5 linked regions of the Coturnix japonica genome follow. The main gene of each other region encodes a partner of the protein of the gene in region 5 in a complex. Links are inferred from orthologs where the notes say so. Each region holds a gene or a part of one and is shown on either strand. Other genes may lie near its edges. The genes, in order: ADGRD1, GPR21, CRHR1, CRHR2 and GNB1.

Region 1 (5,242 bases), on a different chromosome or scaffold from region 5:
AAATAGAAGGATGTGTAGCTGTACTTCCAAAATGAGTAAGCTGTTAAGTAATCATTTGTCATTGTAAAACTCCTACATGTCACTAGAATGGCTGCATGCTGTGTGTAGTCAACATCTCAATGGTAGCTGCAGTAACTTCAAGGCCATTTAACCACTATGTACATTAACTAGCAGTTTTCAGTACTTGAACACAGGCAACTGGTTTCTGCAATGACTGCCTGTTCACTGTCTGCATTCCAAGTATTTATGGGTTCTTCAGCATCTAAGAGGAGAGAGAGAGGTGTGTTTTATGAGCGTCCTTTATTATCCTTTCTGCTGGGTTCCAAGTATTTGTAATGTGAACTGCTTAAGGTGGAATAATAAATGTTTAGGTTGGTTCTTTGGACTGTGTCGTTCAGCTTGTTCAGAAGTGAGTTTTGGCTGCAAAACACCCCTGCAGAATATCCACAGTTAACATAGCACTGTGTGAGTAAGGAACCAGACTTTTTTTAACAGACCGAAACTTCAGATTTTTGCCATCTTCTCACTTTTTGAGAGAAGCTAAAATTTTAGCACAGGCATGGATTTCTTAGTTCTGCCCTTTTGCCTTGACTGTACTTCGCATCTTTATTCTGTTTCTGGATATGCTGTTGCTTAGGTCTGTCATTTTATAGATAAATCTCATAAAAATGTTAAAACAGATTTCGTATGCTAATACAAGTAATGACCTGAAATTTCTTACAAATAACCAGTTATGATGAATAAAAATAATTTAAGAAATGAAGGCCTTTCTCATGTAAAAAGACATCAGCATTAAATGGCTGCCTCCTCTGCAGTCTGGCTGTATTATTCAAGGTAAATTCAAGTAATAGGAATATTATTCAAGTAAGATGAAAAATTCTACCACATTGATCATTCATTAGTGTGGCAGAAGAACTGTTGTTGGTTTAGAACAGGTATGATCAATGGCAATCAAATCGGTTATTTGTCAAAGTAAGGCAAACAGAAAACTGCCTTCAAGCAAAATTAATCTCAAGTGCCCTGTTTACATTCTCCCACTCTCCCTTTAATTTTTTCTTACCTCTTTCTTGAAAAGCTTCACTGGGAATAGAAATATAACTATGTCCTCGGGATGGAAAGCGATAATGGGACACATTCAGAGTCTTGGGATGCATTTTGGCCAAAGTGTAGTCTGTGTGAGAATCCAAACAATAATACGATAAAATCAATAGCCTTTATTATGACCTTCATGAGTATGTAGCTTTGCTTTTCTAACACCTACTGTAAATCTTGACTCTAAAGTTCCACAAGTTTGCAGAAAATAGAATAAATTCCCTGCATACAAAATTGCCTTTTATACCCAAATTAGGTTGTAGGATGCAAAACAGCGGCAAAAGAAAACATTCTCCTAAAAGTTTTAAATCAGATTTCTCTCCCCAAATTAAAGTTTTTTAGTACCTATACATTTGCAAGTTCAAAGCACTGAATAAAAGCTCTGGGCAGTACTTTAATTCCCTCTAGTATAGACTGTGCTGTGCTAAGTCTTCTGTATTGTTTTATTGGGTCCTTATGCAAAATCATTCCCCAGATAAACTCAAGAACCTCAAGTGCAGTCAGAGATGATTACCTCTGAACTTTCTGCAGATGAAATGGCATCCCAAAGAGAGAATAATCTGTTCTGATTTCCTCTTAAGTGTTAGCAAAGTAGAGGGGCTGCATGCACAGAAACATTCAGGAAACCCTGACAGGCCAAACAGAGAGAACAGCTCTGTTAAATCCTACCTGCTATGGATGATGAACCCTCAACAGTAAGAGACATCGAGTTTTCTTCCAGATTGCGTGTCATGTGCACCATCACACTGTCAATAGTTTGAATTAAGCTTCCAAATATGTGAGCAGTCTGGGAGAAGAAAAAAGATAAGGCACTACAACAAGAGAAATTGAAGCTCACAGCACAAAGTGCCAAGGTGTCATGATAAATTCCTTTGTAAGTCATTGTTTGTGTGTCCAAAGTAACAAGTGATTTTCTCCATAACGTTTTCCACATGTAGTGGATAAAACGTTATTTAAAATGATGTCACACAGAGCGTGATCTTCTAAAATATTATGTTTTATAGAGCATCTCTAAAGGACTCTTTGCTCCCATCAGCATTTGTCAATTATATTCAGGAATCAGAAAAATGACATCAAGAACCGAGCAGATTATTTTGGCAATATTTTAAGACTTGGATCAGACACTCACTGGGACATGATTTTAAATACACTGTACTCCAGCTTTTCTTTCATCTGTATTAGAACATCCCCCAGTACAAAGCTACAAGGGAAGTGTTTATGTCTCCTAGAAAATAGTCGTCAGAGTGAATGCATGCTTTAATATGGAAGAAATCTCCTTGATTTGATATTTCCTTACACAAGAGGCAATCTAGGATTTTAAGCTAACAATTTAAATCCATTAGACATCTATCTGTTTTTCTTAAAAGCACTTTAGGATTCAGTCAGACCCTAAGTCATCCTGCTAGTCATAGCAGGAAGAATAGAGGCAACCAATTTCATTACTGTCTATGCTAAATCACAGATCTGAATTAACCAAGAAATCAAAGCTCATTTGTCTTACCTCAGGTATTTCAAGCCAGTTGGGTAGCATCAGAAAGTCTTCAATAACTTTTAAAAATGCCTAAAATAATAAAATCAATTATTTTTTTTTTTCATCTGTTACATCACCTGGTAGGAACACAAGGCAGATTTCTTGGATTTCCTTTGGTTTATTTTAAGATTGCAAACTTTTTTTTTTCACTCTAGTCAGGTTCATCCCCACTGCAAGCATTCCCATCATCTTTTGTCTAGTATCATAGATTAATAGCTTATTTATTAGAAGTAGTACTGCTATGAAATCCTCAAAGTACAATAATTATATCAGACAAGTATATGTAGTCAGACAAGTTACAGTCTGTATGTATGAACAGAACTCTGGTGTTTATTTCCCAAAACAGATTTGCTAAGGATAGTCATGTCCCACATTTCTGTTTGCACATTACTTTCACAACACACAAAGCAACAGATAGAATGAGCAACCAAATCACAACTGAAATGATATGGGCAGCAGGTGTGACATTTGACAGGTTCCATTTTCAAATTAGAGCCCACACGGAATTTTCAGCAAAACAAAGGAAACAATGAATTAGAGATTTTTAGAGAGATTTTTGCTCTGTATTAAGTTGTGATTCACAAAGGACAAGCTTTACATTTTCCAAATGTTAAACCTTTAACAGAAACTGTCAGAAGCTGCCTGTGTGTTTTTAGAAGCACTGATTTATACTGTTGGTCCAAGTAAATAATCCTTGTCACCCTGGTATTACCCACAGGCTTAAAGAAACAATCCCTGGTGAGGCCAGAGCTGATGGTTACAATAATAGTTTTTTAGGCTGCTGAAATCAGGGAATTAGCTCCCCATCATTTTACAGAAGGCGAACTTTATGTTAGCAAGAAGGGCCCCTTGTCATCAGTTTGGACTGCAGAAAATGCCCTATAGTATGTATGACATACATTGAACACACAGCTGAAAAATTAATTAGAAATTCTTTACTTCTTTTCTATTTTCTTTTTAACTAAATCTTTAATGTTCAGTCATGGTTCCAAATATTATAAAACTCAAGCATTAAATTGACTCCCCAAGAACTAATGAACTATTCTCTCTGGTTGAAGCTCACTGTCTGCTGTTCTCTATAACAGCTGCTGCTTACTTCATACACGTATTCTGCAATCTGAAAAAACTTTTGTAGTTGCATTCCATATTCTACCTGCTGGGGAAATTTGAGTGTTATCTGGATGCACACACAGATTTTAGAAGTTTACCTCTGTCAGGCTTAGAGCAGTATTTTCTGACAAGGATTTGTTGGGCAAGCTGAATGAGACGTTCTCCAGGTATTCCAGCAGGATGTCAGAGGAGTGGAAGTTGCCTCTTTCTTTGGTTAGATTAGTTATGATGGGATGATAGGCATTTGTAGACAGCTGCAAGAGAGAGATATAACTCACCAGCTCATTCCAAACAGCAGGTGCCATTTGTGATGTCAGCCCAAAAGGGAGCTAAGGGACAGTTTTCATAAATTCTGATGTTTAAGAAAATAGTTATGAGGACTGTCTTACCACAGGTTTTGGAGTAGTTGTCATCGTAGACCATGAAAGAGTTGAAGAGAGCAAAAATTGCACACCTAGGGAAAAATTCATACAGAAAGGAGTTAAATTTGTTTAGGAAAAAATAACTTTAAAAATCTCCGTATCTTATCAAGAACAAGCAACATACTGTGGGCACTTCTGACAAGTTCCTGTGTGGCCTAGATATATTTCTATATATATAATTCTTCACTATAAGGACTGAGACGATGCAGACATTGAAAACAATCAGAATACCATCAACCATGGTTTCCAAATGCTAATGTTGTCCAAATAAGTATTTATGTCTTGAGTCCAAATCACTTGAGTGGCAAATAAAATAGTGCAAATTCAGAAAGTCTTTAATAAAAACTCAAAATCAGTGAAAAACTCTTCAAAAAATTAAACTTTATACAAATGGAACTTCTCTGTACACATATGGATGGTTGGGTTAACTTGAAAACATCTATTGCACTTGAATTTAGCAGCGTAGCATTCTGCCCTAAATCAAGGAATGTGTTTTATGGTGTCTTTGAGTTGGATTCTGTTGTGGTAACCCCAGGTCGCTGTGAAAGATAAAACAGCCAGATGCTACAACTGTGTTTCCAACATGACCAAAACGTTATAAACTTAACAAAACATTTTAATTTATTTATTTAGATTTTCAAACATGGAATAAAAATTTGTGCTATTTCCTACTTTAAATAAATTATCTGAGAATGTTTGAAGACATCTGTAAGAATCCCTTCATAAAGCATAAAACTTGAGCATGATTTCTGTCTTTTGTGTTGTACAGCATATGGTCTGCTTCATTATACACTAGATATAGGGTATTCTTTTCAGTGGTTTCAATTCTACTTTATCTATTCTGGATTTTTTAATGTATTACATATGTAAGTTACTTGCCATTATCAAACCTGGATGTCACAAATGCACACGTTCTCATTTACAGGTTTGCACCTGTGCTGTGTTACTCAAAGAGTGTCCATTGTGAAAATCACTCCCGTGGGTTTAAAAGCACACAAGTAATTGAGTGTAACTGCGTTAGCTCTCAGTAACCTAATAAGAATTAATGAAAATAGAGAAACCACCATCGAAGCCAAATGTTCCAGAT
Region 2 (5,982 bases), on a different chromosome or scaffold from region 5:
TAGATTGTATTGCTTCAAACACGTGGAAATGTTAGCTAAGGTGAAGAGCCAGAGAACAGCTACTGGGAGTTTACCTGAGAGGCTGCTCCAAAAATACCACAAAGAAATGCTTCGATATTAGTGACTAAAGCCCTTAAACTGCTCCCTAAAGCCCACCCATGCCATGACACCTACAAAACACTAGAGAACAATTAGCCAGCTGTGAGCTAATGCACCATTTATAAATGACTCACCGCACTGCTATGCTCTGCTCCACACACCAAGGCTACCTGGCACAGCCAGGTGTCTCAGAGCAAACAGCAGACTGACACAGCTTAGCAGAAGGAATCACCTCTACGGTGTCTGTGCAAAGATGACAGTGTAAGCCCTTAACCTAGACAACGTCTTCATATGAAAGACAACAAGCAACGTTGTGAGAGCTTCAGGATTTAGACAGCCTTAAACTTTCAGATGAGCTAAGGAAGAAGCTCATCTGGACAGGTCTGAAGTATGGATGAACACTGAAAGCAGCTCACAACATGGCTTTGTCCCAGGACAAACCACACGAGCCCAGGGACCATAGCTCCCAGCAGATCACAGAGGAGGGAACGCATGTGCTTGCAGGACCACTAAAAACAGAAACCATCTTGGTCAATAACAGCAGACCTGAAAACAAATAAACGCAGTCTTTCCTTTGGTCAAGAGAACTGCTCCAGTTCTGAAACACTCTTCTGAAACTATCTTCCCTTATTTCTTTTCCTTTCCCAGTATGACAAGTGTAAACCAACCGCGACTTCATACAACAGCTCAAACAATTCCCCAAAGTCACGGCACCGAATGCACGGACTGGGAGCACAGCACAGCACCAGGTCTGTGTTATAAAGGACAATGCAGATGTAATGCACTGCTACAGGACATGGCTCACTAACGCCTTCCTATTCCAACACGGCACCAGTAAAAAGACATTGTTTTAAAAAACCAATCAATTTGAGGGCTGCACCGAATTCTTAACGGCATCACAATACTCAAAAACACTTTGTTTAAGTGAGCCTGAGAAACGCTGTGGTCGATGAAACTTTGTTTCTCAGATACTGTACATTGTTTGACCAGTTAAATATGTGTTTGCCAACAGGATTTAGCTCCTGCTATATTCGAACCATCTTTAATCCCCGAAAGCCCCAAGAAAAATGTCTCTGATTTAGCTCTGTGCACTTATGAATAACTCAAATACTACAGTTAAATTTACAACATAGTTCCCTTAGCTGTTTAGAAGACAATTGTTTTCTTTCCTTTCCCCCTAAGTTCTAGTATGTAAAATATCAAAAGAATTTAGATTAAAGAAAAGGGGGAGAGGGGGGGAAGGGAGAACATGTTATTTTTAAAGTTGTTCTTGAGAAAATTTCCACTCAAAAATGTGGCATTTCTCCACTGTTTGGAGAACAATTTTCACATGTTGGCATCGCTCTCAAGCGGCTGCCACAATTCTGGTATCATAAAATGACAAGTATTTTTCTCTTAGCTTATCAAAACACATGCTAGATGTGGTCTGATTCAAGTTTTTTCTTACTTGACAACAACCAGGGAAATGCAGACTGTTCTCTGACTGCGCACACGCAGCCAACCAGAGTTACGGGGCTGGGGACGGCTCAGATCCCAGTGCTGCGCTCACGGCTCCGTGAGACCACGTTCATGAGGAAACGTTCCCATTGTTCCCCCCTGCTCTACAAGTCCTGCCTAGGTAGCACAGAAAAACAAGTTGTTTGGCCCCTTCTGTTACAACGCTGGAAAATTCTGTCAATATACTTTGGCATATATTAAAAAAATCCCTGTAATACACCATATACCATGACATTTCCACTGCAGATCATTTACATGTGAAGCACGAATCTCAAAAGAACCCAGCAGAACTGTAAGAAAGACTACATTTTGCTGAAGCTCTCAGACACCCACTCCATTCAGTCACACCAGCTGGAGAGGTAAGTGTCAAGATACAGCTTTATTCTTAAAAACGAATATGGAGGTGAAACTCCACAGCCGCCTCCACAGCCACACTTTGCTTTTTTTAAAGTGAAACCACAACGATTTGTGCTCCTGATTCTTCCATGTCAGCAGCATTTCTCAGAAACCTTTTTGCAAATCTGGACATCATAGAATCGTATTTAACTTTTTGCAAATCACAGAGTAGAGTTGTCCCTGCACTTCCCAGTCTTAGACGTGACATCCATTGGAAGATCTTTTGCTCCTAGAGGTAGAGGAGTCCTTGGCTACCCTCTGTCTAGCACAAGAGGCACAAATCGCCCCCGAGAGACGCTTCAGCCCCTTCTGAAAGACACTGTTGGACAGACTGTAAATGACACAGTTGCAGAAACTGTTGCTGATGGCGAGCCAAGTGGTCAAGAAGGATGCAACGCGGTTACTATAGACGTTGGAGCTCTCCAGCAGAAAGTAGATGATGTAGGGCAACCAGAGGATGTAGAAGACACTGGTGATACGGAAAAGAACCATGGCGTAGCGCTTGTCCGGGCAGGGCTGTGCCTCCCCTGCCTCCCCATCCTGAGAGCTGAAGCGCACCCTCCTCTCATTGATCTCCTTGGTGTGCTGCTGGCAGATGCGGAAGATGTTAAAGTACGTAAAGCAGACCGTGAAAGCTGCCGGGGCGTACAGCATCACCACGATGAAGAGAGTGAAGTAAGGGTCAGTGTTCCAGGAATTGGCACACCACTGAAACACGTCCCCGTGGTATCCAGGCTTTCCCCAGTGAAAGGAGGGTAAGAAGACCAGGCAAGAGTACAGCCAAATTACCAGGATGCAGATCCGCAGTCTCCACGGGGTGACCAGCGTGTTGTAGGTCAGCGGCTTGGTGATGGCAATGTACCTGTCAATACTGATGCATGCCAAAGAGGCCATGGAGACGCTCTTCAGCACTGATACCACATAACCAAAGATCTGGCAAACCAAAGACTCGCTTAAAACAACTGGATAGTGCAGCAGAGACAAAGAAGGCACCAGACAGCTCACACCCACCAGGAGGTCAGCATACGCCATAGTCTGGATGAAGTAACTGGTGGTGTGGTGGTTCAGCAGAGGTGCACAGTGAAAGACAAATATCACAATAATGTTGCCTGAAATAATCAGCACCATGAGGAACACGATAATAACCACTTCCAGGAGGCAAAAATTGATGGTCTCCAAATAGCTAATGGCCAGGAGACAGAATGGCCGGCCACTCTGGTTGCCAACCAAGGAGGAGTTCATCTTGAGCACTGCAGTGATCGCTACTTCATGCTCCTGCCTGCTGCCTGCAGCCGCCCCAGGCAGCTGCTGTCATTGCGGCTGGGGCTCTGCGTGCAGCAATGTCAGAACCAGAGCTCGGGTCCCCAGGGCTGCTCCAGCTGCCGCTGCTGTGCATTGTCTGCAGCGCAATTCCCCTTTAAACCCGGCTCCGCGCTGCTACCGGTGCACGGGGACCCGGCGGCAGTCATGTCAGCAACTTCACGCAGACACGGGGCTGCTATTAGAGCCCTCTGGGTGGGCCGCCTCACTCAGGACGGCAGAGGGATGGGGAACAGGGAGAAGGAGCCTTCCTCGAGCGCGGATGGGAGTCCTCCCGAACGCTGACAGAAGAGAAGGGGAAACGTTTTACAGCATCATCCCCGCCCCGCTCCCGCCGCCTCCGGCCCCACGCCCTGCTCCGCCGCTCCCCGCCGCCCGCCCCGGGCCCACCGAGCGGCGGTTCCCGGTCCGCAGCTCCCGCGGCCGCCCGTGCGGAGGGATGCGCGGAGGGGCGGAGGGGGGGGGGCGCAGCCCCGCTCTCCTGGCTCCATCTTGCGCGCCGCTTTGTTCGCCCGCCCCGCCGGGATCGCGTCCCTCCGGCCCCGCCGCTCCCCCCGCCCGACCCGGGGCTCCTCTTGGCCGCTGCCCGGCCCTCACCTGCCGCCGGCGAACAAAAGCCGAGCGCGTCCCCAGCGAGCGCGGCGCGGCAGCTCCGCTCTGCCCGGCGCTGCGGAGCCGGGGGAGGGGACGGCGGGAGGAAGGGGAGGGAGGCGGGCAGGAGCGCGGGGGAGGGCGCGGCGCCGGCGGGGACCCGGCCGGGCTCCCCCGCAGCCCCCGCCCCGGGCTCGGGAAGGGCCGAGCCCCGCGGGACCGCCGGTGCCTCCCCCCGGACCCGCCGCGGTGCCTCACCCTGCGCGACCTCGGAGCCAGCGGCGCGGCGAGCATCCATCCCTGCAGCAAGGCGGCTGCCGCACGGTGCTGCGGGTGCGCCCTGCCCTGCCCTGCTCCCTCACCGCCTCTGCAGGGCGGGTGGCCGCGGGCCGAGCGAGGAGCCGAGAGCCAATGTCTAGCGGGACTTAAGGCTTTTCTATAGGAGCCCTGGTGGAGAAATGCCCGTTCCGTAGGGAAACGGCGTCTTTTTCCTGGCGTAGTTTGGGTTGCTTAGGAGACACCTGAAACCAAGGGCATCCCAGCTGAGAGATGCGGTTCTCTGGTAATTCAGGTGCTGCTCCGGAGGTAAAGTCACCTCCTGCACATGCACACAAAGTGCAACGGCGTCACTACCACCAACAGTGTCACTACCACCAACAGTGTCACTACCACCAACAGGACCTTCACGAACTAACCCGGCTCTACAAAACAAAAAGCTTGCTGGCATTCCAGAGCAGTGGTGCACAGTCACACCACCACCAAATCACACCGTGAATATTTGACCAGAAATACCTCTCCCATGCACTCAGGGCATGGATGGTCTAATGGGATGCTGCTATCTCATCTGCCCAATGACAGGACGGCACCTGCGAGCATCTCATCAGAGCTAAGCACACCCTGGAGACCGAGGCTCGTTCTGAGCCCGTGGCCAGGAGCTGCTCACTGAGCTGAGCCGCCCAGCAGTGGAGCAAAGTGAGGCTCTTCAGCAACCTGAGTCCCTTCATCCAAAATGAAAGTCTTCAACTGTCACCTACACCAGCTCAAATCACACCCTGGATCCTACTGAAACCCGAGGTTTTGGTTCATGTAAGCTAAGCTTTTGTCACACTGATAGATACCCAATGGAAATGGAGTTGCTGCCAAAGGAACCAGTATCAAAGCCATCACGCTGCAACACTTGGGATTTCAGTTGGCCTGTAGGTAGAAAAGCCATTTTGCAGCGTGTTTTTACTGGTCAAAAGCCCTGACTGGACAACACCACGAATTGGCAAATTTTGACTTGGTCTCCTACAGAAATCCGAAAACAAAAATGTTACTTTTCCACCCAAAGATCACTTTGCCATTGTCCTTCATTTCTGTTAGAATTTATGGCATTTCTACGCATGGAAAATTAAGTACTAGAACTGTAGCTAGGAAACATAAACTTTGAATTAAATTTAGGCAAGTGCATTGTGGTTATACAAAAAACAAGCTATGATTGAATTACTGCCGGAGAAATGATCTCCTATCTTTCCAAAGCAGAGAATGATTTACATACCAATTGATTCACATAGTATTTCTGGCTCCTTAGGCATGAATAGGCACATTATAAACATCCTTAGGAAAACAGCACACACTGAACTTTAAATATATCTCACATATATAAAAATAAGATAGTATTGGAAATCCTGAGACTGCCCAGAACAATGTCTGGTTGCTCAAATTTCAAAACAAAAGATGTTCCTCTAAATCAAAAAGTCCTCCATGTTTTATTTTTATTAGTAGTCTGGACTTAACTCCTACACAGCCGGCGGGCATTTCTACATAAGAGAATGTTTTCCTTTAGCTGACAGCCCGTTGTTCCCTCAGCACAGGGTAACAGCTCTGCTCCATGTCCAGGCCAGCCCACAGCTGCTCACTGCATGCACCCAAACCATGACCATGATTTCACACCGACTCTCTCAAGCCCCCCCTGCACACTGACCTGCAGCAGACTGGGAAGGCTGGAAAAGGTGACTGAGTGGAATATAACCCTACCTGCCACACCTGGAGTGAGAGACCAGCTCTGGTCCAGTGCACAAACAGCCAACCAGGATTCAC
Region 3 (5,850 bases), on a different chromosome or scaffold from region 5:
GCAGAGGGCAGAAACGATGGAGCAGTGTCACCTTTTGGTGTCCTGCAAGCTCCAGGCTTAACCAAGTATCCTCAGCATCAGCTGTGATGCCTCCAGGTGTGTGTAAGAGAGACATTAATGTAGGCTGGGGTGAGAAGTGCTGAAGCCGTGGTTGGCTGCAAGCGAAGGAGGAGCTGCTCCAACACAGAGCCATGCAACTCCTGGCAGAGCATCGTGCTTACAGGAGCACACACTGGCAGAGCAGGACCTCTGTGCAGAGCAACTGCTTCTGCAAAAGCAGATTGCTTACCTTTCCCTCCACAGCTGAATGCTCAGCTGAAGCGCTCTGTGATTTTTGGCAGCCTAAGAGAGATCACAAAGGTTTTTCTTTGCTGTAGAGCAGGATTGGCTGCACTCTGTGTCAAAGCAAGAGCAGGAGGGCCAAGGGAAGGGGACACTGGGGTGTGTGTGGCTCCAGCTCGGCCAGGCTGGGACCCACTGGGTGCCATGTGGCGGCTGACAGTGGGGATGCAAGGACGGAGCTTTGACCTATTCCTTCTGTAAAGCCTGCGGAGGGGTTAAAGCAACCAGCAGGGGACAAAGTACACATAGGAGCCTGACCAGCAGGGTGCTGGGATGCTTTTGGCTTGTGCAAATGCACCTGGAGTCCCCACCTTAACCCTGCTAGCAGTGTGGCTGAGGGGATCAGGTGGAAAAAAGAAAATAAGCCTTTTGTTTGATTTGGAAGATTTTATTTTCTTAATTTTATTTTATTTATTTATTTATTTATTTATTTTTGCTATTTTAGCCCATTTTCAAAGCCTTTTCAGAGCTGATACCTGTGCTCCATCGCTCCATCCTCACCCCTCGAGCTGTAGCTCAGCCCATGCTGCAGTCCAGTGCCAAGACCTCTCCCTGTGTCTGGAAGGAGGATGGGCACTGCCAGGCTGAGCAGGCTGCGATCAGCACCATCACATCCAATTAACACTTGCAGATCTGCTCAGTTGAACAAACCATCCCAGCCCCTTCTGGGAAGAAACCTTGAGTCCCAGCTGCCCATGCAGTGAGCCACAGGTCTGGCAGGCACTAAAGCAGAGGGGATGGACCCCTGCAGCCCAATTACCCTATCTCTGGATCTAGGGAGCTCTCATGTTTGGGGTTGTGCTTCATCTGTGTTGATCCCAGAGCCCAGCCTCATGCAGAGCATCACTGGGTATGGTGGGATCCTGCAGGACTGGAACAAGTGCTCCAGTCCCTTGCAGTGCATGCATTTGGGGCAGGGTTATGCTGCTGGATCCATTGTGCCATCTGGAGCAGTCATAACAAGGGAGCTATTCTCAGCTCTGTTTGTACGTCTGCCTGACATCTCGCTTGCTGTCAAAACCAGCTTCCCAAGGCAGTAAATAGTTGTTTGGAAAAGAGCAAGTGGGTGCGGAGCTTGTCTCCCCGTCTGAACACATCCTGCTGATGCTTCAGGAGGGGGTAGGAGATCTCTGAGTGTGCCAACACTAGAAGACATGGGGAGGAATGTGTCTTCCCTACCCAGAATGATTGTGAAGGTAAATGGCACACAGGAAGGGAGATGTAGCACTGGAGAGCAGCCCGGATGTGGGGAAGGAGTCTCCTTAGCTTCAGTGACTGCTGGTGGCCATCCTCTGAGCACAGGGACTGGCCCCTGCCATCCCTCATTCATCCCATCCATTCATCGCAGATGGAATCACTTCATTGCTCCTGCCACGCAGGGCTGAAGAGGTCATTGCAATCTCTGCCAGAAACAATCCTTCAGCAGCAGCTTTTCCAAAATAGCTCCCTGGACAGATGGACTCGGTGGTTCTCACTTCCAAAGCAGCTGCGGAGCCACCCAGGAGATGTTCTGGAGAAGCTTTTGCCAATAGGATTGTTTGTGGTCAGTGCTTCCCCATGCAAGGGGAACGGCAATGCTTGCAGACAAGCCCTTCTCCTAGAGAAGGCTTCATCCTGACCCTGTGGATCAGATCCCTTTAATGATGCATTTTCCTGCTGACAGCTTACAAGGCTGTGATTTTAATAAGGTATCACAAATCTGAACGTGGTGTCAGGCTCATCATGTTTCCTCTGCCTGCTCTTGGGATGCAAAGATGCTAAAAGTGGTGATTAAAATGCTAAACAGGAGAAACTGAAGCTCAGCAGGGGTTGTGCAGGGCTGCAGTGTGGGTCACTGGGGAAATATATGGGGAAGAAGAACAATGGCTGGAGAAAAGAGAAGATAATAGGAGTCCCCAAGAGTGGAAAAGCAGTCCTGTAAATGGGTGCATGCAGATTTGGGGAGGACACCCATCAAGGCGTGGGGAAGCTCAGATCAGACCCACCTGCTGCCACATCCAGGAGGGAACAGAGGTGTGAGGAAGCTGCGTGTTGTGTGCGTAAAGCTGTTCCCATCTTCTCTCTCTTCATGCAGGTGTTTCTCCTTCGGGATAACCTCGTTGCAGCCTCCATCCAAGAGCAGTACTGTGAGAGCCTGCTACCCACCACCAACCACACAGGTGAGTGTCCTGTGTCCCCAGATCATGCTCAGGGCACCTGGTAGCAAGGATGGCCAGGTGAGGGTGAGACCCTTTCTGGGGGTGGGAATGTGCTGAGGCTGCATTGCAGCCCTGTGGTGATCACTGCATCAGCAGTTTGCAGTGTCAGTTGAGGCAGGTGGAAGATGCAGAGCTCAGGAGAGCTAAAAATAGGAAAAATAAACGTGCTTTGGGCTGGAGGAGAGGTGGGCAAAGAGACACCAGCTCTGCTCCTGCTTCTATGCTGCCACTTCCCTACTGCACCCAAGGACATCAGGAGCCAAAGTGGTCCTCAGTATCAACTGCCCTCTGTTAACCAGGAGCCACTGTCCCCTATGTTTGCACCCCTTCACCACCCCTATGCCCAAAGGTGACAACAAGAAGCTGTGGCTTTTTGCACACACCACGTCACCAAAGCAGCACATCCGTGATGTGTTCAGGGCTCAGCTGTCCTCTGTCCCCAGTACTTTCAGTGTTGTGCCACTGAGCACTGCTGGGTTCATGGAAGCAGCTCTTAGGGACGTGGCTCGGGCTGGCTCAGTCAAGCTGGGTGACACCAACAAAGTCATGGGCACCTCACTTATATCCAACACCCCTGAAAGGGTTTGTACCCATATAGGTCAGGCCCACAAAGCATTGTGTTTTGTCCTACATTAAAGATATGATTTAGATGTCACCTCAGCGCTGATGGCTCTGGGTTGTTGATAGATCTGGGGGGAGGAACAGTGGCTGAGGGAGAGGAGAGGGTGAGGGAGAGGGAGAGGGAGAGGAGCTTCAAGGCAGCAGGAGGAAGATCCTCCCTGGTCCAGGGTTGCTTCAGAACTCATTTTGTTTCTGTAATTGACAGAGGACAGAGCATGCATCAAACAATTGCCCAGCTTGACCCAGTCCCTGCTCAGTAGAGCATCTTTCCATCAGGGTGATGGATGGCTCCTTGCCACACTGCTCCCATTAACAACAACATTAAAAAGTCCTTTTTAAACAATTCCAGCTGGGCACTGGCTGATTCAGTGCCTGGATGTTTAGCAGAGCCCAGGGCACTGTGGCGAGGAGCATCCCCAACCTGAAGCATGAGGGTAGAAAGCCAAGGGTAAAGCATGGCTGGTGATAGAAATGGAAGTGCCTGCACGTCCTGGGGGCTATGCAGAGAAGCCTGGCCATCACTCATGGGCTTTGCTCCCTGAAGGTTTCATTACTCCACAAGGTGTTTGTCCTTGGCCAAGTTAAGCAGTGATAAATGGTATTGGTTTACTTCTTGCTTGTCTTTCTTGGTGTAATGTGTCTCTGGCTCTGACCCATGAATTGTGGGGAGCACCTCCAGACCTTCCTGTGATGGAGGAGCTGGCCCATGGCCCAAGGCATGGAGCCTCCTTGTGCTCAGCTCATGGCCCCTGTCACCTGTGCTGTCGCTTCCTGAACCCAGGGTAGAGAGCAGGGAGCGTTTCCAAGCAGCAGGCAATGCTTTTTGCAGGCATCAGACTTCCTTGCATTGGGATTTAGCAGTGCAAAGCTATTCAGGAGCAAGTGTACCACAGCATCTATCTCTTTGGGATGGGGAGCACAGCAGGCCAGGCTTTAAATCTGCAAAATCTCCTCCATCCTACCTACCACGCATGGGTAACTTGATGGATATGGGGATGGTGCGTGTGAGAGTTGCTCCCAGCTCAGGATGGGGGCTTATCTAAAACTAATTGTCCTATGGCTGTTGTTTGGTAAGTGAAGCTCAGCGTCAGCCCTCATCCTTGGGGTCTGTTTAAGCCCTGCCTGATTTAGGCAGCGTTTCTGAGGAAGAGATGTTCACAAAACTGGCAACTTTGTTTTGAGGCTATTTGAAGCGAGGACTTGTTAAGATGATGCTAATGGGAATTGCAGCAAGGCTACAAGACTTAATTTGTTAATGTCTGCATAACTCTTGGGAAATGGCACATGCTGGCAACACGAGCTCAAGGATCCTCCAGCACACAGCACATTGGGCATCAGCTGGATGCACAGACAGGCTCTGCTATAGCATCATTCCTCCAAAAATCATCCCAGCCCAGGTTCTCACCCTTCTCACACTGCCAGTCCCTTCCTTACTCGATTTTACACTTAACGAGGATGCAAGGCTGGGTGGTTCTATTGCTGGTGCTCTGAGGTGCATGCACTGAGCTGGAAAGTTCTCTGCTTAGAACAGAGTGGTGCAGAGAGATGCAGGTGATGCTCACCGGCTGCATAGGCATGATGGTCCAAACTATTATTGTAGTCATCCACAGTGCCTTTCAGTGGGTATCCGTGCATTCAGATTGGCTGCTCTACTGCAAAGGCTCCTCCAAGTAGAAACCATGTTAAGCTGGACTTGAGACCAAGAAGGTGCATTAGAAGCCAGGTCAGCTTGCACCTCTAAACACCTGGAAGCCAAGAAATTTAGCTTAATTAAACTTATCAAAGAGAAACAATGAAGATCAACCTTGTTCAGGGTTGAAAGGTCCCTGTCCCAAGGGCTCCCAGCCTTCAGATTGCTGCAGACAGCAAATTACCTTCCTGATTTCAGTTCCCTGGGGTCTGTATGCAGCTGCTTCTCCCCTTGCCACAAAGCTTTTGCAGAGAGATGAGGTCATTTTGCCCATGGGGATGAAGCATCCCACTGTCAAAAGAATGCTTCTCACTGCAGCCTTTTCACTGGGAAGGAAAGGGGAGTCTGAGTAGATGGGGAAGCCTAACTAATAGGTGAGGCTTTCCCAGAGCAGCCCAGCAAAAAGCAGTCAAGCAGAGCGAGTGCTTAAGGGGTTATTTTGCCTTTCATAGCATTCAGGCTTGGATCAGCCCAAGGAGTTGGCACCCAATTGCTAATAGCTCTGGTACTTCTGGCTGCACGATTCACTTCTTCAAGCTGTTAAATTGTTATCACAATAAATTGTTATCCTTAATCCCCTGTGCGTGCCCAGAAGAGAGCAAGAAGCACAGCTGACTCCTTCCAGGAAAGAAGTGATTCGGACCACTGCACATTCACCTAAAGCAAAAGGAAGTGACACCAAAGCCAGGCAGAGCTGAATAAAAATGCATGTTTGTTTGCATTTAAAATACTTGAGCTTTCTTCTAGGGGAGAAGGGAGAATAGCTTTGCATTCAAATAAAACAAATTGAGCTGGGGAAGCTATAGCGAAAGCCTGGGACTGAGAAGCAGAGAAGAGCAGTGAGCAATGTGAACATTTCATTGTGTGTGCTGTGGGGCAGGTGTGTTTTGCAGAGGGTGACAGTGTGACCAGGAGCCTTCCATGCTCTCCAGTTCCACACCAGCAGCACTGCGACAGCCATCCCTGCCCTGCTGCAGCTCTTCTATTCACTTGCTGCCT
Region 4 (5,725 bases), on a different chromosome or scaffold from region 5:
CAGAGATAAATCATAACAGAAAGCCATGGAATAGAGTGATGGAAATCCTCTCTGGCTTCAAGGGAACTGACCCATGTCTATGCACGAGCAGCTTCAGGCTCCTTTCACCAGTTCTCATCAATTCATTCCATCCCACCACATGTGAGTTTCCATTCCTGGAGGTGGATGTTTAAATGCAATAAAAAACTTCAGCTGGATTTATTCCTCCTTTTGCATTTTCATGAAAGCATTCATATTAATTGGAAGCATTGCAACGCTGAGTTACAGCTTTGTTTTCTTTTAATAATGAAAGGAAACAAATGGCGGAGCACAACCAACACGAGAGGGAAAAGTAGGAAAGCTTCAATATTTAAATGCATTCAGACTGTTGAATAATTGAAAGAAAAGAGAAAACAATGAGTTTCTTTCTTTCTTTCTTTCTTTCTTTCTTTCTTTCTTTCTTTCTTTCTTTCTTTCTTTCTTTCTTCCTTCCTTCCTTCCTTCCTTCCTTCCTTCCTTCCTTCCTTCCTTCCTTCCTTCCTTCCTTCCTTCCTTCCTTCCTTCTTCCTTCCTTCCTTCCTTCCTTCCTTCCCTTCCTTCCTTCCTTCCTTCCTCTTTTCTTCCTTCCTTCTCCTTCCTTCCTTCCTTCCTTACTTTTCCTTCCTTCCTTCCTTCCTTCTTCTTCCTTCCTTCCTTCCTCCTTCCTTCCTTCCTTCCTTCCTCACTCTTCTTTTCATTCTTTCTCTTTTTTTCTTTCTTTCTTTCCTTTCTTTCTTTCTTTATTACATTCATCTTTGCTTTCTTTTTCCTTTCTTTTTCTTTCTTTCTTGTGTTCTTTCTTTCTTTCTTTTTCTTTCTTTCTTTTTTTCTTTCTTTTCTTTCTTTCTTTCTTCTTTTCTCTTCTTTCTTTCTTTCTTTCTTTCTTTCTTTCTTTCTTTCTTTCTTTCTTTCTTTCTTTCTTTCTTTCTTTCTTTCTTTCCCCCACCTCTCAGGTCCACTAGTCCATAGAGTCTATCTGTCTCCTTGCTGTGATGTTCATACTGTATGAAGCTCAACCTCTGCATGGGTTCAGGTACTTCAGCCTCCTTGTAGGTGTGTTCTGGAGAGGGGCTGAGAAGCTGTTTGCTTTATGTCTTTTGTGATCAATTGACAAAAGGCAAAAACAATTCAACTCCCCAAAGAAAGATGCCTGGGCAATTCTCACCCCAAGTTAAGCCTTGCTGTAAGTTCATGCAAACCTTGGGAATTTGTTGTGCAAAAGGGACTCTTTCCTCTTTTCTTCTTTGCTACCTTTATGAGGTTGGATATTAGGGAGAAGTTTTTCACCCAGAGGGTGGTGATGCACTGGAACAGGTGCCCAAGGAGGTGTGGATGGCCCATCCCTTGCAGCATTCAAGGCCAGGCTGGATGTGGCTCTGGGCAGCCTGGGCTGCTGGTTGGTGACCCTGCACATAGCAGGGGGTTGGAACTGGATGATCATCGTGGTGCTTTTCAATCGAGGCCATTCTATGGCTCTATGATTCTAAGATTGGAAATGTTCTGATCCAACTGCTGACCTAACAGCACCATGCCTGTGTTCAGGATCCTTCAGGTCATTACAAGACTCGGGGTGCCTCCCTTTGTCCGCACTACAGAGCCATACAGAGCCCCGCTCTATTGCTGGTAGCTTTGGGGTCGCGCTCCCCGGGGGCTTCGTCCTCCTCCATCCCCGCAGCGCCTCGGGCGGAGGGCGGGCTCGGCTCCCCCTCCAGGCTCCCTCCCTCCCTCCCTCCCTGCGGGGCTTTGCCCTGGGACGCGCCGGCGGCACCGGGTCCGACAGCGGGGCGGCGGTGAGGGGCAGCATCGGGGGGGGGTTGGTGGGAGGGAGGGGGGTTAGAGATGCCAGCAGAGGGGCAGAGCTGCTGAGAGGGCAGCGCCAGCCCCCCGCAGCCCCCCGCAGCCCCTCCGGCCCCATGGCTGGACGGGCGCCGCAGCGCAGCCTCCCGGCGGCGGCCACAGCCGCGCTCCTTCTCCTGCCCGTAAGTGCACCGGCTGGGGAGGGAGGAGTGGGGAAGAGAGGGGTGGGAGGGTGAGCGGGAGGCTCCCCACGCCCCGCCAGGAGCCCACTGGGTCCGGGAGGGAGCACGGAGTGCGTCCCAGCCGTGCGGCTCCTTCCCGTCCCCTCGGCGCTGCGGGACGGTCCCGCACAGACCCCGCACAGACCCCGGCCTCAGCTCCACGATATCCCCGTGGCTGCTGATCCGTGGGTCCCTTCAGAGCCCCCGTGCTGTGCCGTGACTCTCCTTGTATTCCCATTAGCAATGAAGGAGTGCCCTGCCGCAGCCCCGTGCCCTGCTTGCTCTCCTCTCAACACGTGGCTCCGTTTCCATCGCTTTCTCAAGCCCTTCCCATCTGCCCAAGCATTTGTAACAACTTTAGAGCATCAGGGAGATCTTTCCTTCCGATCCTTCTCCATCACCATCATGATGAGGCAGCAAATAGGGTCGGCCGGGCAGGCTGTGTGTGTGTATGAGGTGTGCAGGAGGTGCATTAATCCTCCTAATTCACGGTGGCAGCTCCCACAACAGTATAAAAGCTTTCTGGACTGCTCTCATCATCCTCACTGTGCTTTCCATCAGTCCACAGCAGCACTTCAGTTCCCACATAGAGAGGACTCCTTGCTATGAGCTTATCAGTAGCACCCAGGTGCCCGCTGCTGCCAGACTCATTCTTTGACAGTGAATAAAACCCACCATGTGTTTCCCCTGTAGATCTAATCTATGGACGTGGCCTTTCTTTTTTTCCCCCCTTCAGTTTCCTGCAGCTTTGCATTGGAATTGTTTGTGTGAATTTGGGTGGCTGGCTTCTTTAGTTGCCCTGCAAGAAAGGAGTCACATACAATGCCAAGAGGGGTTTGTTTGGAGATGAATGCTCACTTGGGGTATACTCTGAGTATATATATGATATATATATATGATATATGTGGGTGCCCTGTCCATGGTGTTCAAGGTCAGGTTGGATGGGGACCTGGGCTGATGAAGAAGGACAGGGTAGAGCAAGGACCATCAGATCCACACTTCTTGAGTTACACTCACATAGGTTGTTACCTCTGCTTGTACATTAAGATTGCCAGGACAGCCATTCAGTCTTCAGGCCGAATGCCCAAGCACGGCTCGTGCCCATACTACTCAACTCCTTCAGCCTCTAAAACAGTGCACAAACTGCATGTTGAGCTCTGTCCACAGAGCAGCCTCACTCCCAGGTCATTCCCGGCAACTGTTTGAGATACTGCTAGATTGCTTGGGGCAAAAATGTAGCCAGGAACCATTCTAAACATTTAACAGTGTAAATGATTAAGTGCTTAAAACAGACCTTTGCGCTGTTTGATTTATTGGCTCCCATGGAGCGTGCTTTACTTCCATTGCTCAGAGCTCTGAGCGCCCAAGGGAGGCATTTTCCTCTAAGCAAACTCTTCACTGCTTTGAGCTCAGCTTTCTTTTTGCTGGAGATGACTGCAGGATCCTGCTGGTAGAGATTCACAATGAAGGCACCGGGACAGTGGGCAATACCTGTGTATAAAGGAGCAGTGTCTCTGTGTTCCCTTTGATTTGTGTGTTGCTCATCATGCTGTTGAAAAAGACATTAAAATAACACATCGCTGTTAGAAAAATGTACATATATAGTTGTGGAGTTTGGAAAAATGGATCTGCTGGGGGAGGTGCTACTTTGCTTCACTGTAAACCTTATATCCAGTAAACGACACTTCAGTAATTCACATTTCCCTCTCCTTCCATGAAGGAGAGGGAAACATTTCTCCTTTCCTTTCCTTTCTGTGCTGTAAACAGCTTTCTTTTGTCCCGTACCACTTCTGAACTCAGGTGTCAGCTGTTCCCATGTGAAGTGCAGGCATGAATTCTCAGATGTGAAGCCGGAGCTCTGCGGTGGCCCCATGGCACCTCCTTGCCCCCTCTCCAGTTATGCAGTGCTATGTGCCAAGGCCTTGCAGAAGCATCCTCTTTGCCTCCTCATCTTTCTATTCCTAATAGCCAGCCTTGACAACTAAACGCTCGCTGCTGCTTGGCTTTATCAACCTGTTTCTTTGTATGGAATTACTTGTTTTTCCCTCACAGCTAATCCTTTTCTTTATATCTGAATAGCTTTGAAAATAGCTATATTTGGTTTGAGCTGGCAAGGGTTCGGCACAGAGCTTTATGTCTTTTACCTTTATTTCTTTCTCTGAAGAGTTTGGTAAGCTTTGCTATAGCCCTTATTACAAAGGAAGACAAGTAGGAACTAGTTATTTAACACTGAGAGTCAGCCTGCAAGTGCAGCTTCACATCAATGGCTGCTTGAATTTCATTGAGCACATCCCAGTGTAGGAGAATTGCACTCCTTGTTGCAGTGCAGTGGGCTGCAATGGTCTCTGGCTTACAGCATGTCCTGCTTTTGGAAGCACTGACCAGTTCCTGATGTAGGATCATTTAGATCAGCACTCGCAGGCCTGCTTGCCTGCAGCATCCCAACAAAGGCCATTTGGGAAGGGCTGTGTAGTGACAGCAGCATTGCTTGGCAGAGACAGGCTGTGACATCCTGTCCTGACCTCCTGTTCATGAGTAGCTCATAGCTGGGTAAGGCTGGGGACGTGCTGCCCATGCACACCTTGTTCTGACAAGGCTCATGCCAGCAGCTCTATTGTGGATCTAAATGGGTGGAGAACTTGGAAGCCGTGTTTCTTTGGGAACAAGCAAATAAATGGAGTGTGTTTGTACGGAAAGGTGGCTTGTTCTCTCTAAATAAGAGAGGAAATGCCTTTGGGATGTCAAGAGGTGAAAAATACTTCTTCAACGGAGCCGTGAGAAAGTGAAACTAATGGAAGTTCTACCAAGTTTTACATAATACTGGATGAATAATGATCCACTTTGAGATATGTATGCTGGGAAAGTAAATAGTGAGCAATGCCAATGGAGATTAAAATACATTAGTTGGCCTCGCTATGATGCTAAACGCTTGCCCTGGTAATAGTAGCTGAAGTGCCAGAGGACTGGAAGGGATCCACCTGCCCATGAGGGCTTTGGGGTAATTTCTCTTGCTGTTACTCAAGTCCCTGGGACACTGTTGGCTTTGTGATGCTGATATCTGGGTACTGCCTTAGTTTTGTCATCTCCCAGGGGTGGCTTTTCCAGTGGAAAGGAAGTTGTGGGAGGAAGGAGGGAAGGAGACGAAAGTGAATTAAAGGAAGTGTGTTGACAAACCTGAACAGGCTGTCTGCAGGGCTGGCAGCCAGGCTCTGCTAGCAGGCATCTCAGTGCATGGACTGAAGTATCAGTTCCCTTTGAGTGGCAGTAGCAGGCTCCCACAGCCCGGCCATAGCTTGGGTTTCAGAAGTCTCATGCCAGCAGGAGCAGAGGGATGGTGTGTGAGCCAAAAACCCTGGCAGAGCTTTGTAATGTGGACATCATAGACAAAACTGTTCAGCTTTCTCTGTTGCAGGCCCTGGAGCTGCTGTGCTGCTCCTGCAGTTTCCATGTCTTGGGAGTGAGGACATCCGGGTGCCAGGCTGCACCTCTTTCAAAGTAGGGGGGAAGGCCAGAGTGATGGCTTGGAGCACACGACAGGACTTTGAGTAGGTGAGCTCCCAATCAGGAGTGAGGATCTTTCCTCTTCTTGCCTCTTGTAGTCTCTGCTGGATGATGAGCTATAGACCATTGTGAACTTGAGAGACCCTTCATAGAGTAAACAACTCCCCAGCAAGCAAATTCCACAAAAT
Region 5 (6,037 bases):
ATTACCTTTGGCTGCTCAGTTAAGGCTGTGTTCTCAATTGACCTAATTTTTTGTGATAAAAAGATAATGTTGACTTTTTTTTGGTATAATTTGCCTTTCAGAAATAAGCGATTTTTCTTAAAACACTTTAGTGTTCAATATTAATTTACAGTTTTTTTTACAAAGTCATATTTAGGTGTTTATAAATATGAAAAGCTCCTAGAAAATATTCTGCACTGACAGCAGGTGCAGCTTTTTTCCTTGAGGAGAATGTGGGTGTATGTCTCAATAAAAACTAGCTTCTGGATGAGAGAAGGCCTCAATCTTCTTTTCATTAGTTTTTGTATTATATCTACTGCTTAAAATCAATACAGATCTCCCAGGCAGCAGTTCTTACAGCAAAGGTTGTCTAATAAATAGCTCTCCTACACAGTGTCAGTCTCTTTAAAGGCCCGTTCATTAGTCCACTGATTGTGAGTAACTAATGAATGTAGACGTTTGTTTTTATATCAAGGTGTTCCTAAACATAATTTATAAGACAAAAAGGATCTGTTAAAACAAGGCTCATACAGGACAGTGTAACTGTGCTCAGGAGTTACCGTAGCTACTAGACAGTTGTTTGGATAACGCTTTGTCCACCTCGGATCAGCCAAGCTTTGAGAAGAATGACAAAGGGCAGTGACCTTCTGTTTGCCTAGTACGGATCTGCTGCTGATGGATCTGGTTTGTTGGGAAGTTAGAAGTTAAGGGGTGATAGTGCTATTTCATTGTTTTGTGCTCTGATTATCACAGAAGTGGTGATTTTTGCCATGTTGGGAGAGGGATGCAATTTACAAAGTCAAACGTCCTCAGTGAGGGTGGGAAAGGCTGTTACCTTTGGCTGTCGTGTTGCCACTGCTGCTTTATGCAATGGACAATAAAAAGGGCATGAAAGATAGGAGTGTAAATGATTTTTTAATTGTATATTTTAATTATTCTTTCAAGCGCTCTCTGGGACATAGAAACTGGTCAGCAGACAACTACATTTACTGGGCACACTGGAGATGTCATGAGTTTGTCTCTGGCTCCTGATGCTCGGTGTTTCGTTTCCGGTGCCTGCGATGCCTCTGCCAAACTGTGGGATGTTAGAGAAGGAATGTGTCGGCAAACCTTCACTGGCCACGAGTCGGACATCAACGCCATCTGTGTATGTATCAGCTTGAACACAAGACAAAGGATTTCAGTTTGTTTTGTTATATTGGTCTCGGCTCTTAAGCATGTTCTGTATGATGTAATATGATGGAATGTTTTCTCTTAATGTTTTCTGCATCAAGTCTAGCTTGGGAGCTAGGGTGAAGTTGTATTCCAGATGTACAGTTTCAGAGTACTCCTCAGACAGTGGGCTCTATGCCTGGAATGCCAGATGAAAAGCATTTTGTATGTTTGTAACTTTTCTGACTTCACAGCATAATGTATTTTTCAGCTTTTGAGTAACTTGCCCATTTTAACGGCTACTCTTTAAATTAATTTGATATCTTTCTTCTTTTTTCCCCATTCTTCCTTGCCCGCTGCTGAAGTTCTTCCCCAATGGCAATGCATTTGCCACAGGCTCAGATGATGCTACATGCAGGCTTTTTGATCTTCGGGCTGATCAGGAACTTATGGTTTATTCACATGATAACATCATCTGTGGCATCACCTCTGTAGCATTTTCCAAGAGCGGACGTCTCCTCCTAGCTGGTTACGATGACTTCAACTGCAATGTTTGGGATACACTGAAAGCTGATAGAGCAGGTAAACATATTTGGTTTTAAATACAAAAAACAAAGTTTGGGGGTATAGGAACAGGACCAAGATATAAACAAATACATGGTTCTGGACTGTGCCAAAGTAGTTTTACTTGAATTTCTTAATTTCTCTCTGTCAGCTTTGTTTTACTACATAGATTTCATTTTTTCTTCTAGAATTTATGATAGCTTTTTATTAACATTGAAAATACAGCAGGGATTTCACAGCTTGAATCAATAAGGTCGTAACTTGAGGAATATGCAAGTAGAATTTTGGAGCCAAGCACTTTCCGTATTACTTCCTTGTGAATCCACACAAGTTTGTGCTTCAGGAAGGAAAAGCATTCAAAAACTGAAACCATAGTTGTTCAGAATTCTTGAAGGAATAGACTTAGTCATTGCAGTGTGGCAGCCTCACTGTTACTTGAACAGGTAAAAGAAAGCTTCAGAGCAATGTGACAGGTTTGTTGCATATTATTATTTCTAGGTGTCCTTGCTGGTCATGATAACCGTGTCAGTTGCTTAGGTGTAACTGATGATGGTATGGCAGTGGCAACAGGGTCATGGGACAGCTTCCTCAAGATCTGGAACTGAAGTAAGTAGGTATCAAACTAATTAACTGTCCTTATGTGGCACTCAGTGCTTATTTCCAGGTCCAGACAGTTCTCTTCTACTGATGCTGCAAGCATGTAATTCAAGTTAGAAAAGTCACTGGGGAGATTTTGTGTGTTTGTTTTTTGTTTGTTTTTGTTTTTAGAAGGCTGTTTAATGTATGCAGCAATGTTTTTATGGTAAACTACTCTTTTACTTTCCTGGGAGGGATGGCTGGTATGGTCTGTAGAGTCTGGGTTGGTAAATAAGTGGCAGTCGTAAAAAGAGTGAGATAATGGCTGAATGCATCAGTGGGGAGTGAGAATAAAATTTGAAACTTGACTGCAATTTATCTAAGTGCAATTCTTAACCCATCTTTCTGTGTGTTAGAAGAGTGGCGGACTCCGTGACTGGAAGAAGTTTCCAACGATTGAAAATTAAAAATGATAGCATATTCAATCCAACTATACTAACTTGGACCCCCATCCTCCCCAACTTCAAAGGGCAAGATCTTTTCCGTCTCCTGTTGCTGAAATTGAAGAGCACAATTACCTTTCCAAGAAGAATTTCTGTGTTGTAAGCAAAATGAAATAGTGCATTCCTTTTGGGACCATGTTTTGTTTTGTTTTTTTTTTTTGTCTTGAGAATTTAAAAATCAAACACTATCATAAAAGCATGACCAGAAAATGAACTTGAGCATAATTGTGAAACAGTTTAGCTTTCACTGTAGTTTCCAAGTCGAAGTTAAGGACTTTATCTCACACACTTGCAAATTTTAAAGTCATGTTTGTAGCGGGATTTTTTTCAAGTTTCCTTTTTAAATACATTTGTTTATGTATTTAATTGAGCAAAACAAGGGAGTCCTAGCCCAGAGCACCTGGGGGTTGTTAACGATGTAAATTTAGTCCCTACTTTTTTTATTTTATTTTCTAGTATCACAGATAATTGTTGCACAAAACTTGGCATATATAGGATAACGTTAAGCAGTAAGGTAACCAAGCACATGCTGTTCAAGGTAATGAATGCTTGTTTAAAGAATCCTTTCACGTTTTATGGATAACAAATGCAATCCTTGGTCCCTCCTACCCCCTCTTTTCACCACACTGATTTTTTTTTAATCTGTTTTGGTTTTGTCCACTTGAAAGGGCAGTTTATATATCCTAACACTATCCTGTAGTCTCAACAACCAGGAATCTCTGTTTTCAAAAGAGACCTATCCTACACTTGGGTATTGAGTCAATTCTTTGTGTATGAAATGATGTACAAATCAATGTTTTGAAAATAATGATCTTGAACTTTCTAAGTTAAACAAAAAAAAAAAAACCTTTTTTGATTGTTTGCCATATTGGGTGGGTTTACTCTTAGAATCGCATGCTGTAGAAATGCTAAAAAGTGCATATTGGACTAAGTCCTTAGATGTTTTTTTCTTTGAAAAAATAACCTGTTTAAAAACTGTAACCATTGTTGCTGTATTCATTTATTGTTGCTACTCTGTGCATAAATCTATGAAGAACTCAAGTAAAAAGCTATGCACGTTTTGGAGTAGCGTGATAAGTCACTTTTTTTTTTTTAAGAAAAAAAAAAAGAGAAACAGCCTGTTCAAACAATCGCTGTCAAAGATTTTGGGGTGTGGGAGGAGGGAACCTAAACCATCTTCTTTATAAAATCAGTTCCTCACAGCCAGTTCCTCTTGTAGGATGAGTCCTTTGCATCTGATTAGAATCATTTTTGTAACAAGCAGGTTTTCCTGGCTTTCTTTTCAAATAAAATGTTAAAAGCAGCAGTGTTTGGACAGCGGATTGTTCTGTTAAACTTTCCTATCTTCTCACTGTATCCAGAAATGCTCCTTCCTAGCAGCAGTAGTAGCTTTTCTCCATTTTGTTTTTTCTGCAACATTCTGTACAAAAATGTGCTGTAATTGTGCGTTAGGCCTGGATTTGGCATAAAAGATGAATTCCTTCTTTCTCTCTTTCATGAAACTACTCTGTAGAGCTTTTTCCACACCCTGTATCCCTCTTCACCTTTTGTATTTAATTTTAAAGTCAGTGTACTTCAAGAAAGCTGGATGCAAGATAGATACTATATTAAAATGTAATGTTATTTAAGATGTAATAAAGCAGTTTGACATGAGTTTTGACTGATCTGTTTTGCAGCTTATTGTTCTACTTACAGAACTGCTTCTGGCAGAACAATTTGAGTTATGGAATATAATGTGAGAGGTCAAAACATGTCTTTAATTGCTCGGTATTTTAATTGGGCAATATATGTACTGTGTTTGAAAGGTCTACATTGTATACGTGTTAAAAGATTCAGGACTTGGTGGGTTTTTGGTGTTTTTAGTGCTAAAAACAGTTGCAAGGTGATCTTAAACCTTCATTTTCTTTTTATTAACAAAGTATTTAGACGTTGCCAGCAATATTTGAAAATATATGTGTATGTGATATATGCTAATGCAGAATTTAATGATACAGTGTGTATGTGGAGCTCAGTGGCTACAGGCATTTTTCTTCCTCCATTCTTAATTATTTAGGATGGTATTATTGCTAGGCCTTCTCAAGAGCTTAATTGAAAACTGTTGGCGCTCCAACAAAAATAACTCCAAACAAAAGTAGCTGATGTGATTTGCATTGGTATACATCACTAAAATGTTTTGTGGAATATATATTGAGTGTAACACCTGAAGCAGGAAATCAGATAGCAAAATGCTTAGTAACTTCTTAAATTTTTGTACCCTTTAATAGGAAAAGGATTGAGTGGAACATCTTATGATCCTGCCATGTGAGGATCTGGCCAGATAAGCTGTATTGTCAGTGTTAGCTGTCCTTACTGTAGATATTGAGAAGGGTAAGTAGTCATTTTAACACTCAGTAAGAACAAAGTCTGCACAGAACAGCATTGTATCTAGAAAACTCTTTTGTTCCCACAGAAGTAAAGATCTGCAACAGCTGTTTAGAGATGCTGAAATGCAGTTGGTTTTGCAACTTGATATTGGTCCACTTAAGACCCCCTTTTATTTTTTTTGTGAGTAAAATTCTATTGATAATCTGACTCATTAGATCAAATTTTATTCATTTCACACCAACCAAGACAAATTCCAAAGAGTGGAAAGAGTGCTGTAGTAAAAATGAACATCCATGGAACTGTATATCACAGGCAGCTGAGGGGAAGAAGTCAAGTGGAGGAAGAGATACCAGGTTTTGCAGTCTTAGCTAGTTCAGAATGCTGTGTTCCTAGTGGGCCTTTAATTTCTTAGTGAATCGATGCGTTTCAAAAGATCTGAGGAGCTGTTGCTAGTAGATTGGAGTTGTACAGTTGAAGTGTTGACCATTGTGAAGTGCCCTGGAGTGTATGTTTAAAATCAGCTGTGAATCACTCTTAAAATTACTGATTGAATCATGCTCTGTGAGAGCTAAAAATAGATTGATCTGGTTTCTGGGAAGTGACAGAGTAAATAAAGAATAACAAAACTTGTCACCCTTGCTGAGTTGTGTAACTGGGTCTGAAACAAGTCAGGATTGTGTGTGGTATTTCAGTTCATGCTGTTTTTACTATAGGTGTAGTCCAGAATTCAGAGATTGGCTCTTTTCATTTTTATCTTCATAGGTACTTTGTTTCTTTTATGTGAAAACTTAATTTGGTAGGGGTAGAGGAATTAAAACTGGCCAGTTTTAATTCAAGCACAGTCTGCTAGTGAACGTTGA

Evidence for each region.
Region 1: the proteins of GNB1 (region 5) and ADGRD1 are in contact, whole or in part, in a cryo-EM structure (PDB 7EPT), measured with the Homo sapiens proteins. The link is inferred for Coturnix japonica from reciprocal best matches to the Homo sapiens genes GNB1 and ADGRD1. Residues at the interface, in NP_001269468.1 of Homo sapiens: Arg52, Asp291, Val307, Ala309, Gly310, His311, Asp312, Asp333, Phe335; in NP_942122.2 of Homo sapiens: Ser593, Val594, Ser595, Arg598, His819, Lys822, Val823, Leu826.
Region 2: the proteins of GNB1 (region 5) and GPR21 are in contact, whole or in part, in a cryo-EM structure (PDB 8HJ1), measured with the Homo sapiens proteins. The link is inferred for Coturnix japonica from reciprocal best matches to the Homo sapiens genes GNB1 and GPR21. Residues at the interface, in NP_001269468.1 of Homo sapiens: Gln44, Arg46, Thr50, Arg52, Ala309, Gly310, His311, Asp312, Asp333, Phe335, Lys337; in NP_005285.1 of Homo sapiens: Pro57, Leu58, His61, Arg313, Arg317, Thr324.
Region 3: the proteins of GNB1 (region 5) and CRHR1 are in contact, whole or in part, in a cryo-EM structure (PDB 6PB0), measured with the Homo sapiens proteins. The link is inferred for Coturnix japonica from reciprocal best matches to the Homo sapiens genes GNB1 and CRHR1. Residues at the interface, in NP_001269468.1 of Homo sapiens: Arg42, Arg46, Arg52, Phe292, Val307, Ala309, Gly310, His311, Asp312, Phe335; in NP_004373.2 of Homo sapiens: Arg145, Ser146, Lys376, Arg380, Asp383, Lys384, Ser386.
Region 4: the proteins of GNB1 (region 5) and CRHR2 are in contact, whole or in part, in a cryo-EM structure (PDB 6PB1), measured with the Homo sapiens proteins. The link is inferred for Coturnix japonica from reciprocal best matches to the Homo sapiens genes GNB1 and CRHR2. Residues at the interface, in NP_001269468.1 of Homo sapiens: Arg42, Gln44, Arg46, Arg52, Phe292, Val307, Ala309, Gly310, His311, Asp312; in NP_001874.2 of Homo sapiens: Arg142, Ser143, Lys372, Arg376, Asp379, His380, Ser382, Val385.

Annotation. Positions count from the first base shown.
Region 1 is NC_029530.1:2,632,342-2,637,583, forward strand, and holds part of ADGRD1 (adhesion G-protein coupled receptor D1), read right to left. Parts: intron 4,188-5,242; coding exon 4,123-4,187; intron 3,988-4,122; coding exon 3,832-3,987; intron 2,654-3,831; coding exon 2,594-2,653; intron 1,880-2,593; coding exon 1,762-1,879; intron 1,172-1,761; coding exon 1,061-1,171; intron 1-1,060. UniProt on the Homo sapiens protein: Adhesion G-protein coupled receptor (aGPCR) for androgen hormone 5alpha-dihydrotestosterone (5alpha-DHT), also named 17beta-hydroxy-5alpha-androstan-3-one, the most potent hormone among androgens. Also activated by methenolone drug.
Region 2 is NC_029532.1:7,309,043-7,315,024, reverse strand, and holds the start of GPR21 (probable G-protein coupled receptor 21), read right to left. Parts: upstream 3,993-5,982; 5' UTR 3,910-3,992; intron 3,594-3,909; 5' UTR 3,235-3,593; coding exon 2,188-3,234; 3' UTR 1-2,187. UniProt on the Homo sapiens protein: Orphan receptor.
Region 3 is NC_029542.1:1,738,388-1,744,237, forward strand, and holds the start of CRHR1 (corticotropin-releasing factor receptor 1), read left to right. Parts: upstream 1-2,212; 5' UTR 2,213-2,263; coding exon 2,264-2,501; intron 2,502-5,850.
Region 4 is NC_029517.1:3,701,227-3,706,951, forward strand, and holds the start of CRHR2 (corticotropin-releasing factor receptor 2), read left to right. Parts: upstream 1-1,898; 5' UTR 1,899-1,931; coding exon 1,932-1,997; intron 1,998-5,725. UniProt on the Homo sapiens protein: G-protein coupled receptor for CRH (corticotropin-releasing factor), UCN (urocortin), UCN2 and UCN3. Has high affinity for UCN.
Region 5 is NC_029536.1:1,653,668-1,659,704, forward strand, and holds the end of GNB1 (guanine nucleotide-binding protein G(I)/G(S)/G(T) subunit beta-1), read left to right. Parts: intron 1-963; coding exon 964-1,165; intron 1,166-1,535; coding exon 1,536-1,752; intron 1,753-2,232; coding exon 2,233-2,339; 3' UTR 2,340-2,340; exon of another isoform or gene 2,341-2,344; intron 2,345-2,726; 3' UTR 2,727-4,466; downstream 4,467-6,037. UniProt on the Homo sapiens protein: Guanine nucleotide-binding proteins (G proteins) are involved as a modulator or transducer in various transmembrane signaling systems.